2 linked regions of the Diceros bicornis minor genome follow. The protein of the gene in region 2 binds, or shares a complex with, the protein of the main gene of each other region. Links are inferred from orthologs where the notes say so. Each region holds a gene or a part of one and is shown on either strand. Other genes may lie near its edges. The genes, in order: TRIM28 and SMARCAD1.

The links.
Region 1: the proteins of SMARCAD1 (region 2) and TRIM28 are in contact, whole or in part, in a crystal structure (PDB 6H3A), measured with the Homo sapiens proteins. The link is inferred for Diceros bicornis minor from reciprocal best matches to the Homo sapiens genes SMARCAD1 and TRIM28. Residues at the interface, in NP_001362784.1 of Homo sapiens: Asp156, Leu157, Ala160, Lys161, Gln163, Thr164, Glu167, Leu168, Phe169, Asp188, Gly189, Ala190, Ala192, Leu196, Ala201, Gly202, Gly203; in NP_005753.1 of Homo sapiens: Arg330, Trp333, Thr334, Lys337, Ile338, His341, Leu376, Lys377, Ile379, Val380, Asp381, Val383.

The regions. Positions count from the first base shown.
Region 1 is NC_080773.1:38,310,018-38,322,302, reverse strand, and holds the start of TRIM28 (transcription intermediary factor 1-beta), read right to left. Parts: upstream 5,805-12,285; 5' UTR 5,525-5,804; coding exon 5,188-5,524; intron 4,852-5,187; coding exon 4,739-4,851; intron 4,510-4,738; coding exon 4,377-4,509; intron 2,742-4,376; coding exon 2,606-2,741; intron 2,521-2,605; coding exon 2,404-2,520; intron 2,322-2,403; coding exon 2,207-2,321; intron 2,086-2,206; coding exon 1,939-2,085; intron 1,830-1,938; coding exon 1,715-1,829; intron 1,630-1,714; coding exon 1,523-1,629; intron 1,434-1,522; coding exon 1,397-1,433; intron 1,313-1,396; coding exon 1,267-1,312; intron 1,195-1,266; coding exon 942-1,194; intron 851-941; coding exon 531-850; intron 450-530; coding exon 326-449; intron 236-325; coding exon 149-235; intron 69-148; coding exon 1-68. Other genes in the region: ZBTB45 (zinc finger and BTB domain-containing protein 45), read left to right, coding at 6,417-6,428. UniProt on the Homo sapiens protein: Nuclear corepressor for KRAB domain-containing zinc finger proteins (KRAB-ZFPs).
Region 2 is NC_080747.1:77,530,728-77,543,534, reverse strand, and holds the start of SMARCAD1 (SWI/SNF-related matrix-associated actin-dependent regulator of chromatin subfamily A containing DEAD/H box 1), read right to left. Parts: upstream 5,100-12,807; 5' UTR 4,996-5,099; intron 4,929-4,995; exon of another isoform or gene 4,658-4,928; intron 4,375-4,657; 5' UTR 4,326-4,374; coding exon 4,136-4,325; intron 1-4,135. UniProt on the Homo sapiens protein: DNA helicase that possesses intrinsic ATP-dependent nucleosome-remodeling activity and is both required for DNA repair and heterochromatin organization.

The sequences.
Region 1 (12,285 bases), on a different chromosome or scaffold from region 2:
GGCGGTGACAACTTCTCCTGGAGGCGGGCGCGGATCAGGGTCAGATCCAGGGTGCCACCGGGCTGATCCTGTAGGCAGAGACCACATAGGCTGAAGTTGAGACCAGGCAGCCCCTGCCCCTCCTCTCCTCCCAAGTCCCAGGACTCACCAGGGAGAAGGTGGAGTCAGTAGCCAGCTGGTGCAGGGGCCGGCAGGGCTCATGGCAGAACAGGGCCAGCAGGACACGCTCACATTTCTATGAACATTACGGGAGACATGAGAACCATGGAGGCAAGGAGAGTAAAACTACTGGGCAACCCCCAAGGGAGTGAGCCCCTGCCCTCACCTGCTGGTTGGCTGGCGAGAGCTTAGCCACCACACCGGCGCTGTCACCACCATCCAGGCTCAGGTTGCCATCCTCCTCCTTCAGGTCGGGTAGTACATGGCAAAGTGAGCAGCTCCACTCCTCCCTGGAAGCAATAGAGAATGAGGGGGCTGCACAGGACATGGTCCTGCCCTCCAGCCCCCAGAGACCCCACACAGCCTCCCACCCTGGCACATCCTGCAGGGCAGGCAGGTGGCAATCCAGGTGGAAGCAGAACTCGCATTGGTTGCACATAACCAGGTCGCCTGGCTTCTGGCAGACACGGCAGATAGTGGCACTGTCATCCAGGGCACCTGGGCCACCAGCTGGGGCTGAGGTGCCCTCTGGAGCCACCACCTCCAGGCCTGAGCTCGTACTGCCACTGGGTGAGGCCAGGCGAGGGCCTTCAGCACCAGGACCCTCTGCCAAGGGCATCAGCACAGGCTTGGTCTCTGGGCCCTCAGTGGCAGCAGGCGGGGCTCCAATAGCAGCCTCTGTCTCTTCCTCCTGCAAGGCGGTGAGGGACGTTCAACAGAGTGAAGGCCTGGACGGCAAATGTCATCCATCTCCCAGCCAAGATCACTTGGGGCAAGCTCACCTTGACAATGGCCATGCCAGGCAGGGGTGGGGCTCCAGGGGCCCCAGGGGGCGCAGTCCCAGGCTGTCCAGCAGCAGCAGCTGCAGCACCGCGCTCAATAACAATGAGGTTGTAATCCTCAGTGGTGCTGCCTGGGAACACCTTGAATACTGGTGGTTGGCTGTCAGCCGTGAGGTCCAGGTCCAGGCGCTCGAGGCTCACCCGTGGTACCTTGCGCATGAGGCCGCTCACCTCACCCTCCCCAGAGCGGGACCTGTTGGTGCGCCTTGGCATGAGCACCCATACCTATGCCTACCCTGCTCCACCCAAGGATAGCCACACTCACCGCTTCACACCTGACACATGTGGCTCTGCACTCGAATAAGGGTCATCTGCTCAAGACAGAAAAAGAGACAGCAGGTTAAGGTAGACCTAGGGCACTGGAACTCTCCCACCTACCAAGCAGACCCACTCACCTGACCCAAAGCCATAGCCTTCCTGCACCTCCATGGGCTGCGGGCAAAACAGTTGAACCTCAGTAGGCAAGCATCCCATGGGACCCCACACCCCTCTCCTCCCCAGAGTCCCCCTCCCCTGCTCACTTGGCTGCTGCCAGATCCCTGCTTGCTCAAGGGCCCTGGAGGCCGCGGAGGGGCCATGGGCGCAGGGCCTGTCGAGTTGGTGCCAGGACGCTCTGCCACGATCTTGCCTATAGGAAGAAAATAAAGTTAGCATAATAAGCACAGTGCCTGGGATGGTGACAAGGTACAGCACGGGGAAAGATAAAGACTCACCAAAGGCCTCCGCACTTTTGGTCCAGGCGTTGAGGTCCCACTGGAACTTCATCTCGCCATGTGGCTCCACAGGGTCCACGATCATCTTGAGGGCCCGGTGCAGCTGAAAGTAGATCTGGGGATGGGGCAGTGCTTGAGTATAAATGCAGCGAACAGGGATCCAGGGTGCTGGGAGGCACCTCCCTGAAACCCACCACCTGGGTGCCCACCAGCACAGCACACACCAGCTTCTTGGAGAGCAACAGGGCTGTGTTGTTGTCACTCTCCAGGGCCCAAGAGGCAAAACGCAAGATGTGTTCCTGGTGCTTCTGGATCTTGGTCATGGTCCAGTGCTGTCGCTCCAGGCGCTCCTGCTGCCCTTCAGTTACCTTCTGTGGATGAAAGGGCAACGAGGTTGACCAGAGAAGAGGGCACTAGAACGCCTCCCCACCCAAGGATGACATCAGCAGCCAGCAGAGAGCCCAGGAACCCTCCCTCGCACATGGGGAGTACCTGGGCATCGTTGACCAGCACACGACCCCGCTTGTTCAGTTCCTTCATGATCTGCAGAATGGCCATCTTAACATCCACCTGCACACGCTTCTGTACGTCAGATACTTGGCGAATCCTGGAGGCAGGGTTGGTCAAGTCAGGTCTAGTCAGGCAGGTGCTCACCCAGGGAACCCCATGACCCTGGCATCTCCACTTACGAGCTGCGAACCTCCTTGGTGTTCTTCTGCAATGTCGCATGCTTGTCTCCCAGGCGCTTCACCAGCGAGGCCAGGAGCTTACGCTGGTTCCTCACTGCGTCCTCCAGAAACTGGTATCTGAGAGCAGACAGAAGTAGTCCTGCACACTGTGCATAGGAACAGACAGCATCCACCCACTGACCCACCCTACCTCAGGACTCACTGGTGGTCCTTGTGGGCATTGAGCTGGCAGTCCCGGCAGGTGAGGGTGTCGCAGCTCTCGCAGAACAGCACGAGGGGCTCATGCTTGTGCACATTGCAGTACACCGTGCGCTCACCATCCCTTGACTTGGCAGGCCCTGGGGAACAGGAACCATGAGGCTGGAGCTTACCCTCAGCCACTCAAGGAGCAGACAGGGCTTGGGGCCTCACTTCCTGCCTGTCCTGGGCTGTCTGTTGGGAAAACCCAGAGGGCCCTGAAGCAGTGGCCAGAGAAACACAGGCCTGAGAACCCAGATCCTTGCTCTCAAAACCCTCTGTCCCAGCCTGCCCCTCCTTCCAGCTTCTGGCAGTAACAACACAAAATGTAAAGATGATGATCTCTGGCAGGAGAAACCTCCCCTCTACTGTTCCCTCTACTAGAATCTTCTCCAGGTGGACACTCAGGAGAGACCCTCCTCCAAACCCCCCAGTGGGCTCCCTTTCTCCTCCACTCACAGCAGGTTCTGTCCAGAAGAGAAGGGGATTCTGACTACTGTGGCAACCCAGCATGCAGAATATTCACTTTCTGGCACAGACAGAGAGCAAATCAGGGCCTAGAGACAGGCAATTTCCTTAAGAGCAATGCTTGGTGACCTCCCCTCTCCTCTGCTAAGAGAAGAGTGTTGACTTCTTACAACCCACAGGCCCACAGGAGGCCTTGCAAAGCCTTCTCAGGCTGGGAGAGATAAGACATCAGACCAGGACACTCAGAAAGGTATCAGGCACCCTCTCCACAGGGAGGGTCCTGGTGCTCAGAGTAATACCACCAAGAAGCCAATATACTATGCTGACCCCCCACACACACACAGAGCCTGTCACCATCAGAAGGCTGTTTGGGAACATCTGCTCTTCTTTCCTCCCCAATCCCAATTATGTGCCGGGTACACCAACTCGGCTTGAGACATAACATTGAAACATAGACCAGCCAGGCCTTGGCTCCTCCAATATTGCACCCCCTGCACCCTGAACTTTGTCTGGAACCCAGGACACGCTGCAGACCCCTGCCCTTCCCTCGTGGCTCCTCATGCCCCAAAGCCACCATCTCCACCCTCATCTTCCTACCTCTGAACTGAACAGACCACAGTGTAACTACCAAAATGCCACTCACAAGGAGTTCTGGACTAAAAACCAGGCTAGACTCAGAAGACTCCCAAGCCCCTTAATGTACCACTGCCAACATATTCACAAAAAAATCTAAAAATACTTGCCTGATCTTTGAATAAGACACCTACAATACAAAGCGAAAATACTTCTAAGACTCACTGTCAATGATGGTCTAAGGGCCCTCACAGCTTGTCAACATACTGTAGCCCAGAAGCCTCACTTTCCCCTACAGAGCCTTAAACCAAATGCCAGAGAACCCCAGATCCAGGAGGCCCCTCACAACCTTCCCCAAATGCCTTGTTTCCCTGACTGCACATGCCTGTCCCTACACCACTGGAGCCTATCCCAATGAGCTTCCTCAAACTCTCGTACATTCCCCTGAGGGTGTGTACTGAGGTCCCTTGTGCGCTCCCCAGCCCTGTCTGTGGCCTTTCCCCGCCCACCTAGACCTGCAGAAACTGCATACCAGAGCCCCAACCTCCCCATTTCTGAGTTCTGCCCTCAGGCCCTTCAGCTGGTACCCCCTAAAGCACTTCCCTGGGACCCATTCGCCACTTGCAACCTGCATCATAAGCAACTAAGGGCATATGTAGGAAGACAGTCTGGGCCACCCCCTCAGCCTTACATACCAGTGGAGCGCACGGTGTGGTCCTTGGTGTACTTCACCCGCTGGTGTGCCTCCACACACGTCTCGCACAATGGCTCAGAGCACTCCACACAGTAGCTGGTGGCAGGAGCATTATCCTCACAGCTAGTGCAGCACTGCTAGGCAAAGGCAGAATCAGAGAAGACAGAACCACCAGACAGATACTCATTTACATCCCAGGAACTACGACCTGAAGCAAGGTGTTGCCTTTACCTAGCCTAGGCAGCCTACCCAGACCGCTGTAGTGTCGGGAGAATAAAATCTCCCGTTGGTACCGTGCTCCTGGGCTGGTGCCCCCCTCCCCATGGCCTGAGGCTTCCTGGAAGTTGATGGAGAAAGAGATACCTGATTCGCATCCTGGGAGTCGGAAGCAGCCTTGCTGCCACTGTCGCGCATAAAGTAATTCTCCACAATGTCTTTGGAGAAGCATTGCTGCTTACACACAGGACAGTCCACCACTGCGAAAAACAGGAAGGAATAAGACCACTGCACGTTCACATTCAGGCTGTAACACCATCCCCGCACAGGGCCCCAATCTCCATTCCATTCCAGGCCAGACCCTCCCCTCCCGGGGCAGGAGCCAAACCCTTCCTTCACCAAACTTGAACCAGACCCTTCACCAAACTTGAACCAGACGCTCCATCTCAGCGCCCGATCCAGCCAAGCACTGTACAGGTCCCTATCGTCCCGCCCGGGCGATCCCCCGCCATCACCACGCAGGTAAGGCCCCCAATCCCTGCGCCAAGTTGGGATAAAACGCTGCGTGGTCGGGAGAGGGGCCAGCCCGTACTCACCGGCGCCATCGCCCGCTGCACCCCCGTCCCCCGAGCTGTTGGCGGCGGCGGGCGCCGCGGGCCCGAGGCAGGCGCTGCAGGCCGAGTGCAAGCAGGGCAGCAGGCGCGGCTCCCTCTCGGGCCGCAGGCGCTCCCGGCACACGCCGCAGTGCTCCAGTAATTCCAGGGCCTCGCCGCCGCCCCCCGCGGGTGACGACGCTGAGGCCGAAACCGAGGCCGAGGCCGAGGCCGAGGAGGCTGCGGCGCGCTTTTCGCCGCCCGCCGAGCCCTCGCCCGGGCCCGGGCTGCCCGAGGCGGCCGCCGCCGCCGCCGAGGCCGCCGCCGCCGAGGCCGCCATTCACACGCCGCCGGGGGCGCCCAGGGAGGAGGAGGGGCGCGGGTCCCGCCGCGCAGGCGCAGACGCGCTCGCCGCCAACGGCTGGGCCTCAGCCGCCGCGAGGCCGAGCGCCGCCACGCGCCGCCTGGGCCGCCGCCCGCTGCGCGCGGGGCGCTGCCGAGTACTGGCCGCCCACTGCCTGCTCGCCTCCCGCAGCCGACGCCCGCGCTTCCTCCTCAGCGGCCGCCAAGACCAGCGCCACGCACCACTCGCACAACTGCTCACCCTCGCGCCCGCTCGCAGAAAGAGCCGCTGTTGGGGGGCGGGACAGAAATAACTGGCGCCGACGCCGCCGCGCAGGCGCGCTAGGCGCCTTGCGCCCGGGGGCGGGGCTCAGGTCGGCAGCCGCTGGCGAAGCCGCGAGTACGCATGCGCCTGAGCCGGGTCCTCCTACCTCCGCCTACACCACCACCGCGCCGCTCAAGCGGCAGAGGCAGGGCATCTGTGACGTCACTGCCGCAACCTAGTCCGCGGGCGGGGCGCGCGCATAGTTACTAGGGTGTGCTCCCGAGCCAGCCCCTTCTCCAGGCCGCTATAGTGCGCATGCGTATTAGCAGTCTGGGCCTCCACCTCAATCCCGGCCCCTTTGGCCGGCCCAGAGAAGTCTCTGGTTGCTGCGTCAACAAGCGTTCGGGAGAGGGGGCGGGACACAGGAAGATGGGCGGAGGGTCCCCGTCGGAGGAGGAAGTGCTCTTCTGAGCCGGGAGGCTGACTTTTAACGTTTTTATTGTTTAACACGAGAAACACTGAAACTTGCCTAAATCAAACAGATCCCAAGAGACTACAGAGCAGCGAGTCACCTGGCCCCCCAAGCGCTCCCTTCCCATCTTTCAGCCAGCCGCTGCGCTGACTGATGCTTTTCCAGGTGGGCAAACTGAACCTAACAGTGGGGGAATTCTAAGGAGGAAAGCAGGGTCTGGGGGAGTGAATCCTGTCGGAGGAAGCAGGATCTGTAGAGAGGGGAATCCTCCCTCAGTGGGGAGTAGGATGGGGGCAGGTGAGTCTTGTCTGAGGGAGGAAGCAGAGTGCGGAGAATTCTGTCAGATGGGGAAGAGCAGGCCTGTGGGGGTGGGAGACATCCTATTTGAAAGAAACATGGCGTTTTTGTGGGAATCCTGTCTGAGGGGAAGCAGAGTCTGTGTGGGGAGAATACTGTCTGAGGTGGGAGCAGAGTTGGTGGGAGCAGGGTCCGTGGGAGGGGATCCTGTCTGAGGTGAAGCAGAGTCTGTGTGGAGAGAATCCTGTCTGAGGTAGGAGCAGTCTGTGTGAGGAGAATCCTATCTAAGGTGGGAGCAGAGTCTTTGTGCGGAGAATCCTGTCTGAGGTGGCAGCAGAGTCTGTGGGAGGTGATCCTGTCTGAGGGGAAGCAGAGTCTGTGTGGGGAGAATCCTGTCTGAGGTGGGAGCAGAGTTGGTGGGAGCAGGGTCTGTGGGAGGGGATCCTATCTGAGGGGAAGCAGAGTCTGTGGGAGGGGATCCTGTCTGAGGGGAAGCAGAGTCTCTGTGGGGAGAATCCTGTCTGAGGTAGGAGCAGTCTGTGTGAGGAGAATCCTATCTAAGGTGGGAGCAGAGTCTGTGGGAGGGGATCCTGTCTGAGGTGGGAGGAGAGTCTGTGGGAGGGGATCCTCTCTGAGGTGGGAGCAGAGTCTGTGGGAGGGGATCCTCTCTGAGGTGGGAGCAGAGTTGGTGGGAGCAGGGTCTGTGGGAGGGGATCTTGTCTGAGGTGGGAGCAGAGTTGGTGGGAGCAGGGTCTGTGGGAGGGGATCCTGTCTGAGGTGGGAGCAGAGTCTGTGGGAGGGGATCCTGTCCGAGAGGAAGCAGAGTCTGTGTACGGAGAATCCTCTCTGAGGTGGGAGCAGAGTCTGTGGGAGGGGATCTTGTCTGAGGGGAAGCCGAGTCTATGTGGGGGGAATCCTGTCTGAGGTAGGAGCAGTCTGTGAGGAGAATCCTATTTAAGGTGGGAGCAGAGTCGGTGGGAGCAGGGTCTCTGGGAGGGGATCCTGTCTGGGGTCACTAGGCACGGAGAAAACTCGAGGGATCGGTGCCTCGGAGCTGGTCCCTGGGCTGGGCCTTGGCCCCCTGTGCAGGGCTCCTCGGTCCTGAGGTCTCCAGGCCAGGATGAGGCTGGAGGGCACAGGTCTGAGAGGATGCAGAGAGCCTGGAGGGCCGGCGGGTCCAGCCCCGGGACTCGACTCTACTTTTCCAGACCTCGCACACGCCCAGGCTGCGGGGAGAGCGGGGCGCAGCCTCCCCCAACCCAGCTCCCCAGGAGCCCACACGTGGCGGCGGCGGAGACGCGTCCGGCCCTACTGGGCTGGGTGTGGCCTTTGTTGCCGCCGGGGGTCCGCAGGGCTTTGTCTCCGCGCCCGCCTTTGTTCCAGCCCTGGCGCGGCCCCCAAATCCGGGCGCCGCTCCGCCCCCTCAGCTGCATAGTCCCGGCCTCCGCGGCCACCGGAGCAGGTCCGCCGGGCCACGCCCCCTCACTGACTGGCCCGCTGCCTCTTAATCGTTCCCGAAGACCCTGTCCACGGACCGTTGCTTACTTCCTCTGATAATTGGGAAGGAAATTGGTGGCTGGCAGTGCACAGCGTGAGGTGTGGCGTCCGTTAGTAATATTTGCTGAGCACTTTCCACGACCCCACCCTGCACGGGGCCGCAAAATCTCTGAGGAGGTGTGGGGAGGACTGACCCATATTTACTCTGGCTCCTGAGGCAGACGCAGGGTTGTCAGGGACCAGACAGTCAAAATAACTAAGTGGTGGTAAAGAGTGTGGGAGAGGACTCCCCTTGGGGCTACTCCCAAACACCTGCAGGAAGGACAGTTCAAGCAGAAACAATAAGTACAAAGGCCCTGAGGCAGACCAGGCACAAAGGGAGCAGTGAAGTGAGGAGTAGTGGGAGGTGCCTAGAAGTTGCCAGACAGCTATCTGGGGATAGGTTTGGTCCTCTGGTTGCCCCTGGTTACAGGCCCTTCACTAGACTCTGGCAACTGGCCCTGTGGTTTCAATGGTCCACCAAGGCCCATGCTCTTCTCTCTAAACAGTCCCCCCTTTCTCCTTCTGGGCCCAGGACATTCCTTCCTAGTCCTTGGCAGCCACACAAGCAGGATGTCACCAGGTGCCAGCAGCAGGCCTTGGAGAGTCCCCTTACCACCAGGTGCTTGGCCACTGCCAGCCCCATTGTCCAAATGGGGAAACCAAGGCTTCTGGAAGTGCCAGGACAGCAATGGGGGAGGAGAATCAACTGGAAACCAGGCTCAGGCAGACTCAGGGAAGCACAAGGGGCATCCTAGGACTGGCTGAACCAGAGTGGGCATACAGGAGGGCAAGGCCAGGGCAGAACCCTTGCTCAGAGGTCCTCTCTTAGGAGCCAGCCTATTCAGAGGTCCAGAGGTGTATGGCAGGACACAGGTACATCTTGGCTCTGTCCCCCAGCTAGACCCGACTGAGTGTAGTCAGTGTCAGTGTCACCTTATACTCTCATCCTCTGTGCTCCTTGCCCACCCTTTACAGCATCTTACCCTTCCCAGTCCTGGACCACTGGAAACTGTCTCTATTCTGGCTTTGCAGACAGGGCTCCAGGGGTGAAACAATGCATAGGAGTCACTCAGACTGCACCCAGGCCAGCCAAGGCCTGCCTACTGCCCCTTTGGGGCACCTGCCTGCAAACAGGCACCCTCACTCTCTTCCTTCCCCAAACTCCACACCTGCACCTGGCTCTCCATCCAGCTTCAGGTGTCACCCCCAGAGCCACTTCCTGGGGAGGTCTTGTGGCTACATCACTCCAATCTCTTGCTCTGTGTTCACAGATTTCATTCAGGAGCTAGACAGTGGTGATGGTTGCACAACACATGAATGTACTTAATGTCACTGAATTGTGTACTTTAAAATAGTTAAGGGCCAGCCCCGTGGCTTAGCAGTTAAGTGCGCGCACTCCGCTGCTGGCAGCCCGGGTTCGGATCCCAAGCGCGCACCAACACACCGCTTCTCCGGCCATGCTGAGGCTGCATCCCACATACAGCAACTAGAAGGATATGCAACTATGACATACAACTATCTACTGGTTCTTTGGGGGGAAAAAAAAAGGAGGAGGATTGGAAATAGATGTTAGCTCAGAGCCAGTCTTCGTCGACAAAAAGAGGAGGATTGGCATGGATGTTAGCTCAGGGCCGGTCTTCCTCACAAAAAAATAAATAAATAAATAAAATAGTTAAAATGAAAATTCTTTTTTAAGGTTTTTTTTTTTCCTGAGGAAGATTCACCCTGAGCTAACATCTGTGCCAATCTTTCTCTATTTTGTATGTGGGTCACAGCCACAGCATGGCTGACGAGTGGTGTAGGTCTGCACCTGGGATCCAAACCCACCAACCTGGGCCGCTGAAGGGGAGCACGCTGAACTTAACCGCTACAACACGGGGCTGGCCCCAAAATGAAAATTTTATGTTATGTGTATTTTACCACACACATAAAAATCAGATTTTGATGATCAGATCAGCAGGGTCTGTCCCTGCTGACCTCTGATCTACCACTCAGCTCCAACTACACAGGCCAGCCTGTTGTTCCCACCTCTGGGCCTTTGCACTTGCTGTTCCCTCTCCCCAGAATGTTATTCCCCACCTCTCTTTCTGGCTCCTTCTCTTCTTTGACATTTCAACTAGAGTGAATCATGAGGACATGAGTTCCAAACTGCTCGTGCTCACTACTGCATCTGCCATGTCTATCCCAGGGCCCGCTCCAGAGTAGGGACTCAGTAAATGTGTAAGAGGACACACAAATTCATGAAGATGATGACTGTCTTGACCCTTCCAGTTTTGTAGGCTACAAGATGAGGTTTGGGTTCTATTACTTTTTAAATTTTTTAAAAATTTAAAATTCATGTAACATCTGGGGCCAGCCGGGTGGTGCAAGCAGTTAAGTGTGCACACTCTGCTGCGGCGGGCCGGGGTTCACTGGTTCGGATCCCGGGGGCGCACCAACGCACTGCTTGGTAAGCCATGCTGTGGCAGCGTCTCATATAAAGTGGAGGAAGATGGGCAGGGATGTTAGCCCAGGGCCAGTCTTCCTCAGCAAAAAAAGAGGAGGATTGGCAGATGTTAGCACAGGGCTGATCTCCTCACACACACACAAAAAAAGTTCATGTAACATCACATTCATCATTTCAGCTATTTTAAAGTGTACATTCAGTGGGATTTCATACATTCACAATGTTGTACAACCACCACCTCTGTCTAGTTCCAGAACATTTTCATCACCCCCAAAAGGAAACCAGCACTCACTCTCCATTCCCTTTCCCACCAGCACTGAGCAACCACTAATCTACTTTCTGCTTCTTTGAACTTTTTAACCTTTTGATATAATATGTAATTATATAATATAAGGCTTATAATATGTACAGAAAAGCACACACATCATACATACAGTGAGCACCCTGGGTAACCAGCTCTGATATCAAAAAGCAGAACATCCCCGGCTCCCAGAACCTGTTTATGCCCCTCCTAGCCCCCGCCATCCTGACTTCTCCCACCACAGACAAGCTTTGCTGGTGTACACATGGAACCATGCAGGGTTTAGCGGGTCAGTGTCTGGCTTCTTTCCCCGAGTGCACATCCGTGTGGCTGTGTGTGGCCTTGGTTCCTTCCATGTCCTTGTGTAGGGCCCCATCACACAAATGCCCTACACTTGTTTATACAGTCTCTTCTTTTTTTCTTTTTTTTTTTTTGCGAGGAAGATCAGCCCTGAGCTAACATCCATGCTAATCCTCCTCTTTTTGCTGCGGAAGACCGGCCCTGAGCTAACATCTATTGCCAATCCTCCTCCTTTTTTTCCCTTTTCCTCCCCAAAGCCCCAGTAGATAGTTGTATGTCATAGTTGCACATCCTGCTAGTTGCTGTGTGTGGGACACCGCCTCAGCATGGCTGGACAAGCGGTGCATTGGTGTGCGCCTGGGATCCAAACCTGGGCTGCCAGTAGTGGAGCGCACGCACTTAACCGCTAAGCCGTGGGGCCGGCCCCTGCACAGTCTCCTCTTGACCACACTTGAGTCTTCCTCCTGCTTGTGCTGTTATGAACACAGCTGCTGTACCATACATGGCTTTTGGCTTGCTTTTTCTTTAATTGTAATGAGGAGCTAGCAGAAGGTTTTAGCAGAAGATGGCATGATCTGATTCCCATTTCAAGGGTTTCAGGTGGGAAATGGATGTGGGGGAGGGCGGAAAGCAGAAGATAAGCATCCAAGCAGGCCGGGCGGAAAAGGCACTAGATCCTCTAAATCACCCTTTAAAATCACTTTGGCTCCTCCATTAGTTTCCTATGGCTACTGTAACACATTACAACAAACTAGGTGGCTTAAAACAAAAATTTAACTCACAGTTCTGGGGGCCAGAATTCTGAAATTGAAGTGTTGGCAGGGCCATGCTCCCTCCGAAGGCTCTAGGAGAGAATCCTACCTTGCCTCTTCTAGCTTCTGGTGGTTCGAGGGGTTCCTGGGCTTGTGGCTGCATCACATCAATCTTGAAGGCCAACATCTTCAAATCTCTCTTTGTTCCAAATTCATATTGCTTTTCCCTCTGTGTGTCATTGCTATGGCTGAATGGTATCCCCCCCAAAATACATATGTTGAAGGTCTGCCAATGTCATAGTATTTGGAGATGGGGCTTTGGGGAGGTAATAGGGTTAGGTGAGGTCATGAGGGTGGAGCCCTCATGATGGGATCAGTGTCCCAGTA
Region 2 (12,807 bases):
AGTCCATCCTCCCTGACCCCTCACAACCCAACAGTTTACATTTCTATCTTTTCAGCTTCATCTATATTGCCCTAAACCTCCTCTTCCATAGATAACCTCTCCGTTCCCATACACATACCACAGACTCTTCAAGGCAACATATATTTTCACCCCTTGTTCACTGAATAAGCAATGTTCATTGTTTAGGGTCCACTCAAAATCATCTATGACTTTTCTTGATCCTCCCCAGGAAGAATGGATAATTTAATCATTTGTGAATTGGATTATGGTCCTACACTGCTTAATATCCTCCCCTATTACATGAGTTATGTACCATTTTAACTATATAAATTTACATGTCCTTTCCTCTCAGTGCTCCTTGAGGATCATGCTTTGTTCATATTTTTATCGTTTGTGCATAAAACACTGTAGGCTCACTCATCTGCCATTGCTTTATTCCCTCCAAACCCACTATGCTCCCAAAAAAGTCAAAGAAAAAGGAGAAATAAAGTATAAGCAATAACCATTGATAACTTTGGCCACTGTGAGAGTAAAATAAACCTGGGGAGGGGAGGAGGGAAGGTACCCACAGGTTAAGTGTATGCCCTCACATCCAAAGACTGGATTAAAGGAGACTGTCCTCGGGCCATGCTGTGGCGGCGTCCCACATAAAGCAGAGGAAGATGGGCACGAATGTTAGCCCAGGGCTGATCTTCCTCAAGGAAAAAAGGGGAGGATTGGCATCGGATGTTAGCTCAGGGCTAGTCCTCTTCACAAAAAAAAAAAAAAAGAAAGGAGCCTGTCCTGTACCAAAAGTAAAGTATCCATGGCTGAAGAATGCCTGATGGCTAAGGGACTGTTTCAAGATCATAGGGAGCAGGAGAGATATTTTAAAAATATGTACAAAGTACTAATATCACCCACTTACCAACCAATACTCCTTCCTTCAACACGCCAGTCACTGTTCTGAGCAATGGGGATGAATAGGTGAACAAGACAGACAAGATCTCTGCTCTCATGGATCTTATACAGTCATGTGTCACATAACGTTTTAGTCAATGACAGATTGCATATACGACGGTGGTCCCATAAGATTAGTACTATATAGCCTAGCTGTGTACTAGGCTATACCATCTAGGTTTGTGTAAGAACACTTTATGATGTTCACACAATGATGAGGTCGCCTAAAACACATTTCTCAGAATGTATCCCGTCATAAGCAATGCGTGACTGTATTCTAATAAGGGGGAGACAAATACATAATGTAATGTTAGGTAGTAATAAATATTATACAGAAAAATACAGTGAGTAAAACTGGGGGGGAGGGGAGTTGCTACTTCAGAGAAAGTGATCAAGTGAAGGCCTTCTAAAAAAGGTAACATTTCACTAAGCCCTAAGGAAAGAAGGAGCTGACTCATATGCAAATATCGGCACAAAGGGTCTTGGAGGCAAAGAGCAAATGTGAAGAAGGAAAGACTGGACTGTGCTTGGCATATTCAAGGAAGAGTGTATCTGCTGCATAGTAACTGAAGGAGAATGGTAATGAATAAAATCTTAACTCATATTAGATAAAAGAGGAATAGCTGAAAAAGAGTGATTACAGGTCATCTCAACTATACACAATTTCCATCCTATAAGCTGACTTAGATCCTAACCTACTGTAAATAAATACAGCACTATCCTGCAATGGCAGAGTAAGTTACCATATGATGATAAAGAAAGTAAGGTCAGTATTTGTACCCCAGTGATGATTCCCCAATCTCCATATCCAGTCCTGATCTTAAATCTAACTTCAGTATCTTGTCCTCGCCATAGGCCCAAGCCATAACACTCAATTCAGCAAGCCCCCCAACCCCACACTGTTAAGTTGACTTTGGTCTACTCCAACACACTAAATTGCAGACAGCACCTTTGATTCTTAGCTCAATTTTCAAATGCATGCCCAATAGCTTATGATGGGTACTTCATACCTATTCTGATGTACAGAACTATCCTTTTATTTATTCAATTTATCCAAGCGAAAACTCTTAACATTCATTTTATCTCATTCCTACCATGGATCTTGTTGTAAAACCTTGCCCTTCTCTTACTTGGAAATCTCTCACATCTTGTTCTCCATTTCTACTGCCATCAAGTTTACATTATAAGAGCTTCTTAAACGATTTCTCTCCCTTCAAACCGTACTCTCTATAATGTACAGTACTCTCAATTGCTAGACTGATTTTTCCACAAAATAACTAAATAACTTTCTTTCATCATCTTACTCTTCTATCTGCAGTCTTTAATGGATCCCTAGTACCTATAAGGTAAAGCCTAAACTTAGCTTTAGTTTTCAAGATTCTCTAAAACTCAGTATCATTTACAATAATCTTTTCTTAAAGCAAAGCTCTCTATTTCTAATAGGATGAATTCTCAACAATCCCAGAACAAACTTTCCCAGTGTCATCAAGACTCACTATGTGATTGATTCCTAAAGGCAATCTTAGTTTCTAAGAGGAATTTATGTGTGAAAAGAAAAAGTCCCAATAAAGAGAAAATGAGTGAAGTCTCTTCAAACAGAAAGAAAAAGGCAGAAAAACATCTTTTGATTAGAAAAGGCAAATAAGAATTTCACATTACTCATGTTGATAAATAACTAAAACATTCCACTCAATTCCAGTTTACAAAATGCTTTTATTTTAGAGACGAAAAAATTGTGGATCTCAGATTTTAAGTGACTTGTCCAATATCCCCTTTAACTAACATGAAACAGAGACTTCTAAGGACTCAAAATCCCATGCCTACACTCTGACTTTCCCTGCCCTAACTACATAAGAAATAGATTAATATATTTACTGTTAAAATACTAAAGTACCTGGATGTTTAGACATTAAATACAGCATGTTACGCAAATCAAATATCTGTTGAAAGAACAAATGGATGTCACTCCTGTGCTTAAAATCCTTCAGAGGTTCCCCACAGAATTCAGACAAGTTCAAAACTCTTTAGACAAACAAAGCCTTTCAAAATTGGACTGCTAACTTTCACTTAATACAACCTACCAAATCATTCCACCATGTTCCAATTACACCAGAGAAGTTTGAAATGTTATTCTCATGTTAACTTGTAGGGACTCTACCATCACCGTTGCATTTAGGTAGAAGATAGCAAACAAAATAGGGATACCAAGGGTGAAGACATACATATTACCAATCTTGTCAGGGCCACATTAACTTAGAGCTGCTTGTGAAATATTTAGTTTTGCATTAAAAAAAAGGTATTATTGAAATAAACATTAAAGCTTTTAATATCCCTCTCACCCCTCATAAGAAACTGTATAATGTAAACAATTAAAAGTTTATGCTCAGGAATTAGATTGCTTGGATTTGAATTCCATTTCTACCAGCTTCCTAACAACTTAACCTCCCTGGGTCTCATTTCTGCAAAATATGGATAACAATATCTTGCGTGATTGTTGCGCAAATTAGAGAATGTGAAACACTCAGCACTATGCCTAAAACATAGTAAGAGTTCAAGTATAATCTAATTGTTAACTGTCCAGACAACACGGATTAAAACAGAGATGCTAATTTTTGGCTTCTCAAATCCTACTGTCCATGACAATCTGCTGAAGAGGTTAAAAATGGTTCATTTACCATGAAGAACACTAATTATTCATTTGTACTTTGGAATCTCCAGGAAGTCAAGTGGTGGCAAAATATGAATGTGATCTGATTTTCATTTATTCACAGTGGTTGTCTTCAAGCACCTTGAATAAAGTCTAGCTCACAGCAGGTGATCAATATTTTTTGGAGGAATACTGGAATGAATGTAAACATCTGGCAATAACAGCCTCAAAGTCTATCGTAGGGCTGAATCACCTAGTTTCTCTTCCAGTAGCAACCATTCTGACCTAATGATGACCTAAATTCTGATTTCAACTTCCATCATTGGGCCATATTCTAAGAACGCATGTAAAAGTGAAGCAACTACGGACGGATACTCAGTTGGAGGCACAGGGTGCCTATGGCAGTGAAAAGCTGTATCTAAAAGGGCATGGTGAAGGACAACACATCAGTATGTATGATCTCAAGAATAAAAATTAGAATGTCTTGCAGCTTTCATCTTTTAAAAAAAATCTCTTGACGCTACATCAATTTGCAACGTTGTAACTCACCTGTTTTTTCAGTTAAATCTGAATCAGGGGTGCCTGCCCTGCTAACTTCCCCTTCAGCATTCTCCTCTTCAGCACTAAGAGAAATTGGTGAAGAAGGGCCGGGCTGGGAGAGCTGAGGGGTTGCTTCAGGCGCTTCCTCAATCTTACTCCTTTTCTCAAAGCGAAAACGGTCCAGGTTGAAAAGATTCATACTGGTAGAAACCACCACCCTGAGGGATTGGGAGCTTTAAATGAACTATCTGCCGGGAAAAAATAAAGAGAAAAATAGGCCATGAAAACAATATAAAATACAAAGCCATAGCAGTTCATTCCCAAGGCAGCTAAGAGATCGCAAACATGCTAGTGGCTCAGGATGATTATTATGGCTGCGCCTCATTGTTAGGCCACAACAATCAGAAGGTGCTCAGGGATACCTTTTAAAAATTTCCCATTGCTCTCTTCACTCGCCTTCGTCCCCCCCCTCCCCCCTCCCGCCCCTCCTTCCTGGGACCACGAGCTGACCCTCGTGCAACCTCCTCTTACCCCAGCACGCGCAGGCACGTTCCCACTCCAACCCCCCTGCGGGCCGCGCGCCCGCCCACAGTGAGAGGCTCCCTGCACTACGGTGCTCCCTGCCTCGAGAAAGGACGTGCGAGGGCCCGAGCCTCGACACGGCGGGACACAAAGAGGCCAAAGAAGGGGAGCGGCGGAGGCCGTGCTGGCGGGCACCCGCCCGGAAGTTGACGCGGCGCGATCCCAGCTGAGAGGAAGCCGATAGGATCAAGAAATCACAAGGAAGGTTCAGAGGTGGAGAGTGTGCTGCGGCATCTCTTTTCATGCTCACTCCCTTGCTCTCTTTCATTTCTCCCCGAGATACTTACACTCTTGCAGCCTCGATGCGATGTAACAAAGGTTGAAAAGAAAAAAAATAATTCTCGGCGTGGGGGGGACGGTAGCCGGGCCGGGACCTTCCTAAAAAGCACGGAGAGTCCCAACGAGCGCGTAGTGATGACGCAACACGCAGCCTAGGCTTTTTTCTTCCCCAGCGACGCGAGAGCGGAAAGTGTCCAGGCGCGCGCTGTTGTCATGGTAACTGGTACCCGCCTCTTTGCCTGGGAAGCGCGCTTCTGCCTGTTTCTCCAGGTTGGCTAGGGGGTTGTTAAATAGAATAATAACAAATAGCACAATAACTATAAATAGCATAATAAGACTATATAGTGTAATATTTGATATATTATAATCTATAATATTTTATATAATATATAGACAGTATGATAATATTGTGCTAGGTTGTTTTATGTGTATAATCTCAACCCTTACAAGAAGGCTGTCTTTACAAAGTAAGGAAACAGGCCTGCAGATGTTAAGTAATTATTAGTAAGGGGTAAAACCCGGTATGTTGAGCTTCAAAGCATAGGAACTGCCTCCCCACTAGTTAGCTGCGTTGTTCTTAGGTGGAATATGACAATTCCCCTATCTTGATGGAAATATTATCTTAAGAATATTTACTCTCTTTGTTCTAACGTTAGACTAAACAAGCAATTTTCTGAATTGTAATTTGATCCTCTGGTTGACATTTCCCTGAAAGAGGAAATGCTACAAATCATTATTCTGCCAAATACATCAGTCATTGTAAACTTAAATTGGCATTCTGTTTTATAAATCAGTGTTTTGAATTGTATAATTATAACATGAACCCACAATTTTATCAAATATGGCGTGCTTGTAAAATCAAGTGTCTGGACCCATAAAATTCAGAATCAAAGGCTGAACAATTGGGATTTCCGTTATACCTATCTTTGATATCCCATGAAATGCACCAGCTTTATGCACGCATGTTAAATGATATGATTAAAGGATATATCAACTGATAAATAGTAAATTGTTTTTGATGAAGAATATTTGCTTTAAGATTTGCTCTCTTAGCAACTTTCAAATATGCAATATGGTATTATTAAGTATAGTCACCATGCTATACACATAATACAAAAAAGAATATTTGCTTTATATTTAAACAGATCTAACATTGAAAATGGATTCCACTAGCTGAATGCTTTGGGCAAATAACGTATAATTTCTCTAAACCTTAGTTTCCTCATCTTTTAAATGTGGTTGATGATACTATTGACCATTTAGGGGAATTTTCTGCAACAGTCCTAACCCCTTGACATTTGTACAGCTGGGGCAAGAGTGAAAATGGAGACCTACATATCATATGTCTAAATATTTAAACATTATAAGTACAGCTAACAAAATGTAAAAATAAAATATGTTGTATTGCCCTGTTTTAAAAATGACCTGGAAAGCTAGGTTGAATTTAGACTTCTTATGTGTCAGAAAGAATGTGGGTGATTCAAGGAGAACTGATTGGCCGATGTATCTTGCCTTCCCTGTGTCACTCAATGTGGTACTACTTCTGTTGTGACACATGTTCACTCAGTGTGGTGCCTTCCCTGTTCACTCAGTGTGATACCATTAGGAACCTTGTGTTCATGCATATGGACACCCAGCTCAAATCTCAAATATCCAACTCTGACCCCACCTAGGGTTTCCATATTTGTGGGGAAAAAAAAAAAAAAGGATGCTCTGTTAAATTTGAATTTTAGATAAACAACGAATACTATTTTAGTGTAAGTATGTCCCATGCACTATTTGGAACTTACTCATACTAAAAAATTATTTGTTATCTATCTGAAATTCAAATTTAACAAGATATCCTGTATTTTATTTGGCAAACCTACCTCCACCTGACTGCTTCATCACCTCTTGGGCCTAGGGGTCTTTTTGCTACACGTTGGGTCTAAGGGTATAGATACTGGAAAGACTTGTTGGCCCTCAGCAGAAAGGCCACTGTTAGCCTTCTTGGACCTGTGTGAACATAGAATTTCAGGGATCAAGTACTCAAAAGCATTGTCTAAAAGTCAAGGCACAGGTTCTGAGTGAGCATATCTTCTTGGCCCCACGGATTCCTTGCCCTTTGTGGTTGGGCATAGCTGGAAAAGAGCCAGATTAAGCCCCATAAAGCACTAGTTCCAGTATAGGAACCACTCTTGCCTAGTTCTAAGGGTAGGGTGGTTCTGCAGCATTCATTGACCTGGGAGGATTGGCATGATCCATGGTTGAGATTTTACTTGATGGTGGATCAAAAGGTTAAGGGAGTATATAACAAAGTAACACGGAACCCCAGGCCTGTGTGCTCTCTCTCTCTACCTGTGACCTCACTGTGTGGCCCTAGGTGTGCTGTGTAATTTCCAGATCCTGTGAATAGTAAACCTTTATTTTTTCAAAGTTTCCTGATGGTTATTGCTGAAGGGCTTTTTGCGGTCATAATAAGAATCACAAAGACTGGTTCAACCACAACATTTTTATTCATAGGCTGAGACCTGGACAAAACAATATGGAAGAAAAATTTGAAAACCACCTCTCCCCCTAGAATGCATAGGAAAAAGACAAAGAGGTGAAATCAATGTGATTTAAAGGGATGATAAACATAGGAGTCAGAAGACTGAGAGGCAACTTTTGATTAATTGATATAATCAAAGAAAAGCATATGCACACACAAAATGAACAGAATAATGAAAAATATAATAGAAAATGTTCATGAGCTCACTTTAGTTTGCAAGTGAAAGAGCTTACTGGATTCAAGGCAGAAGCAATGAAAAGAGACTGTACACTAAAAATGTCCTAAAGAATTTTTTTTTAATTTCAAGAATTTAAAAAATGTCTTGCAGTCATTTTTTCAGAAAAACCCTGCAGCCTACTAGGGACAAAAAAAGTCAGTCAAAAACTTGTTCCTGAAACTATAAGCCAGAAGGTAATGATGCAACATCTACAAAGCTCTGGAGGGAAAGGATTGTCACTCACTAATTTTCTAGATCACGTGTATGTCATTCATTTGTGGAAGGAAAAAAACAATTTCAAACTTTTAATTCCTTGAAAATATATCTTCCTTAAAATGTTTCTAAAGACAAATGCAGCTGACAGGGTCAAAAATTCAAAAATGAGGATTTCAAGAATGGAGAATTCATGGTGTAAAAGTATTCTGTTGAGACTAAATATAGTTAGGAATTAATAATTATAAATATGGTGTGTTAGTCAACTTTTTGTTGCATAACAAACAACTGCAAAGTTTTAGTTGCATAAAGCAATAAGCTTGATTGGCTAATGTGGCTCAACTTCAGGCTACAATGCCTGTCTGCACATAGTACATGGTCAATAAATATTTGTTGAGTGAATGAATGCTATTAATAACTAAAGTGCCTAAGCATACAGATAACCACAAATAAATTTTAAAATAAACTTAGTGTCTTCAAAATAGTACGTGCTATGGAAGAACAACATAGAGTTAAAAAATCTCAGGGAAGAGATGACATAACTTGAGAAAGGAAGAGAAGTAAAAGAAAAAGTACTTTAGAAAAGATTAAATTAGATGTAACACATAGATGAATAAATGTAACATAAAATTACTTAAGAGAAATAGAGGGTGAAAAGGGAAGAAAACCTAAAAGTGAAAATCAAAAGGTAAATAGATTTCAAGAGGAAATAATAAATATTGAAGATAAGCAAAGAAGATCCAACAAAATTATAATAGGAGTCACTACAGAAGGAAACCAAAGCAAAGGTATGGAAGAAGTGACTAAAAACTCAAATTCAAAAAACATTTCCTGAAAATTATAAAGATTTGAAACTATATATCTTGAAAGAGCACATCATTTACCTGAGAATATCAACCCATATGGCCAACACCAAGACATATTCTAATAAAATTTAGACTTTAAGGAAAAATTTTAAAATTTCCTCGAACATTTAGATAAAAGCAAGCAAGTGACCTAAAAGAGAAAGAAAATTATATTATCATCACAGTTTTAACAGCAAGTCTTTATGTCAGAAGAAAATGGAGTATTGTTTTTAGGATGCTCAAGGAAATAAAATGTGATTTTATATTGAACAAAGTGCCTTTCAAATAAAAAGGCACAGATAAACTTTAACATTATGCAAGAACTCTGTGGATATTGTTCTCATGAGCATTTCTGAAGAAGCTATTAGAAAATGACCTACATAAACCAAAATGTCTATAGAGACAATGATGTAAGGATAGATATTGAGCACTAACTATACAGTTATTTGTAGAACAAAGACAATATGAGGTTTAAAAGCAAAAGAGTATAGTATATAATGGCTATATGATCTGTCAATGCATACGTCTTAAAACTGGGGGAAAAAATGGTAGAAACATGAAAAAATTATTTTTTGAGTGAGTATACTAGTATTATTATTCTGAGACTGTTGTATATATATTGTTGGATAAAGCAAATGAATAACTCTATTATTTCCTTTTTCTTTGAGAACCAGGATTCTCAAGTAGAAGAAAGGAGATACAGATGTGGTAGAGAGTTGTTAGAGTGTAAAGCCTAGAGTGCAGAGTGGTTCTTTATTTGAATTGGAAATATCAGTAGGAATTTATGAGGTTTGATACACCCTATATGTATATATATACACATGTAACGTGTGTGTATTTCCTATCTGTGTCCACTGAAATGGCCTAGGAACTGACTAGCCCAATACACATCCCTACCTCCAAGATTGTGGTCTTGAAATATCATTTACCACTAAAGGAAACCAAAACTTCTTAAAAAAAGGACAGATTCTAGTCTGGGACAGGAAATGTACAGCGTGAACCTGGAATATCTTCATATACCCAAAAGCAAGGAAGTTATCAAAGACCACTAACATCATGTCAAAAAGATTCCGGAGTCAACTTGAAGAGGCTGCTACTACTGGACAAAGATGGGGCAATTTGAACTTCAATACAATTAAAAATTGCAATTATGTAAAAACCATCAAATATGTTTAAATCCATAAGTTCTTTATGGTATTTTTGTAAAAAACTGGTTGTCTTTGGAGAATAAAAGGAAGACAATTCATTATCATGAAAACTGACAAGTTTAGGAAAAGAATCAAGCTTTTATCCTGCCTTTTCTCTATGAAGGGCACTATTAGGTAATCAAATAACAGATGAAGGAAAGTATCTCTTTATAAAAGCATTCCAACTAGTAAAGAAGAAAGAAATGATAAAATTTGAATCACCCTGCTTGGTCCAAATTCCTGACCTACAAAATCATAAGATATAATAAAACTGCTATTGTTTTAAACCAATAAATTTTGGGGTTAGTTTGTTATGCAGTAATAGATAATTAGAACATATCCAAACATTTTTGTGTCAAGTATACTGATTCTTCCAGTTAAAATTAAAATGTTCCTTATTTTCCCATCTTAAAATACCTAGACTCAGAAACTGTCTGGGAATCTTAGGCTCATTTCCTCTTCACCTCACGTTTGGAGTAGCTGAGTACAAAAAGTAACGTTTAATAGACTTTGTTTATGTGTCCTCCCACTTCATTTCTGCCTGCTTTGCCGGAAGAATTATTTCCCACAATGATATCTAATTCCTCTTTCTCAGTAGTATAAATAAGATCAAAGGCACCTCTTCTTTAGAAATATATACTTAGTCACAGAAAATTTGCTTTATCATTTCTAATTTGTATTAAGGCATTTTTTGTGATTCAACATGGTAGTTAAGATAAAGTTCCTGGAATATAGACCATAAAACAGAATTTTATCAGCAGGACTAGTCAAATGTGGTGACTAAGATTTCAGAAATAAATTATTGCTTCAAGGGTCCCTATTGGGATAGAATTCACCTTTTAAATTAGAATAAATATTTATGTAGGCCTGCTGTGATGGTTCATTTTGTGTGTTAATTTGACTGGGCTAAGGGATACCCAGATAGCTGATAAAACATTATTTCTGGGTGTGTCTGTGAGGGTGTTTCTATAAGAGATTACCATTTGAATTGGTAGACTGAGTAAAGCGGATCCCCCTCCCTAATGAGGGTGGGCATCATCCAATCCACTGAGGGCCTGAATAGAACAAAAATGTGGAAAAACAGTGAATTCACTCTCTCTGCTTGAACTGGGACATCTATCCTCTCCAGCCTTCAGACACGTTCTCAGGCCTTCAGATTTAGGTCTTGAACTGGAGCTACACCACTGGCTTTCCTGGGCCTCCAGCTTTTAGAGGTACTTCTCAGCTTCCAAAATCTGTGAGCCAGTCCTTTGTAATAAATCTCTTTCTATATACTTTTATATATCCTATTGGTTCTGTTTTTCCGTAGAATCCTGACTAATACAGCTGCCAAAATCCTGTTAATTACCTGTTAGTTTTGAAATGAGCTCAGTGAAAATGTTTGCTAGAATCCTCAAATTTCTTCATTAAATAGGAGGAAAGCCTGTGGGGATTTTTTTTTATTTCTTTTTGCTTTATATTTACCAAAATAAAACCATGAAGCAATTTGTGGAAGGAGCAACCCTTCCAAATCTGAATTAAATAAGAAACCAAACAATAAACAGCAAAAGAGATTAAAAATGAGATTTGCAAATCTGGATCCCTTCTTAACTTGGTATCTTAAAAATGTAAACCACACCTGGTTGGTAATGGAAAGTTGTATAAACTAATCTTACCTCACACACATAAATATGAAATGGAAAAGAGAAGATACCAAATCATAAAACTAAGCAGATCTTTCTTCTTTGGTAACAAGAAACTAAGACAAATATTACCAGTTTGTAAGCAAATATTTCTTTTCCCAGAGTAATTATTCTTAATTTGGAAAGGTGGAAGGGATGGTCATGAACCTCTTTTGAGAATTTGATTTTTAAAAAACTATGTAATAATGCCTTCTAGAAAACTGCATATGCACACAATGGAGTGTACATAATTTCAGGAGCTTCCTGGAACCCCTAGTGCTCTATGGACTTGATATTAAGAAATTCTGCCAAAGAGGTCGTCAATCCTCATAACTCTGGTGGAATCCATGGTGATTCCATTCCTGTATGTGCCTTTTAAAACTTAAAACCTCTAGTAACTGCCATTACCAATTTAGGGGATTAAAAAATATTATTTTTCACCCTTTTGCTAATTAGTTGCTATATTTTGCTAACTACCATAATTGCTTTTCTGCAATTATGAAAAATTGAAAAAGGTAGAATTTAAATTCTAAATAAAGCACATAACAGTTTATTTTCAGTAACTTCCCATTAAAGAGCAAATCTCAGGTTGTATCTTTTACTTAATTTTGTTATCCTAATTTTTTTCACTTCTTTTTTCTACTGATGCGTGTTTTACAATTGTCAGGATACTCTAGAATCTTGAGTTCACACACTAAAAACTTGGGTTCACACACACATACACACAAGACCCTACATTTTTCTCCCAGTGTTCTTGCAAGTGAGTTTCCTCATGGCATTGTGTGGTCACCATTTTGTTGCTCTCTACACCCGCTGTGTCAGGATGGCACATCTAGGTTCAAATTTTACCACATCTGTACCTGTGGCATCTCATTTTTGTTGTAGTAATTCTTACCTTGAAATTATCCTTTTATATCTGCCATTCTCCAAATGTCATGTTTCACAATATATTTGACTCAAACTGGATCATTGTAATCAATCCTGTACACATATTTTTTTCTTCTTGAGTTGGTCTTTACAAAGAGATTCCAAAAGAAAATACGTTATGGTATTCTTTCAGCCATTTCAAATCCCACAAACATTAAACATAATTCAAAATTCTTATTACTGCCAGATCTACTTAGACTTAGTCAAAACACAGTTCTGGGGATAAATTACATGTTAACA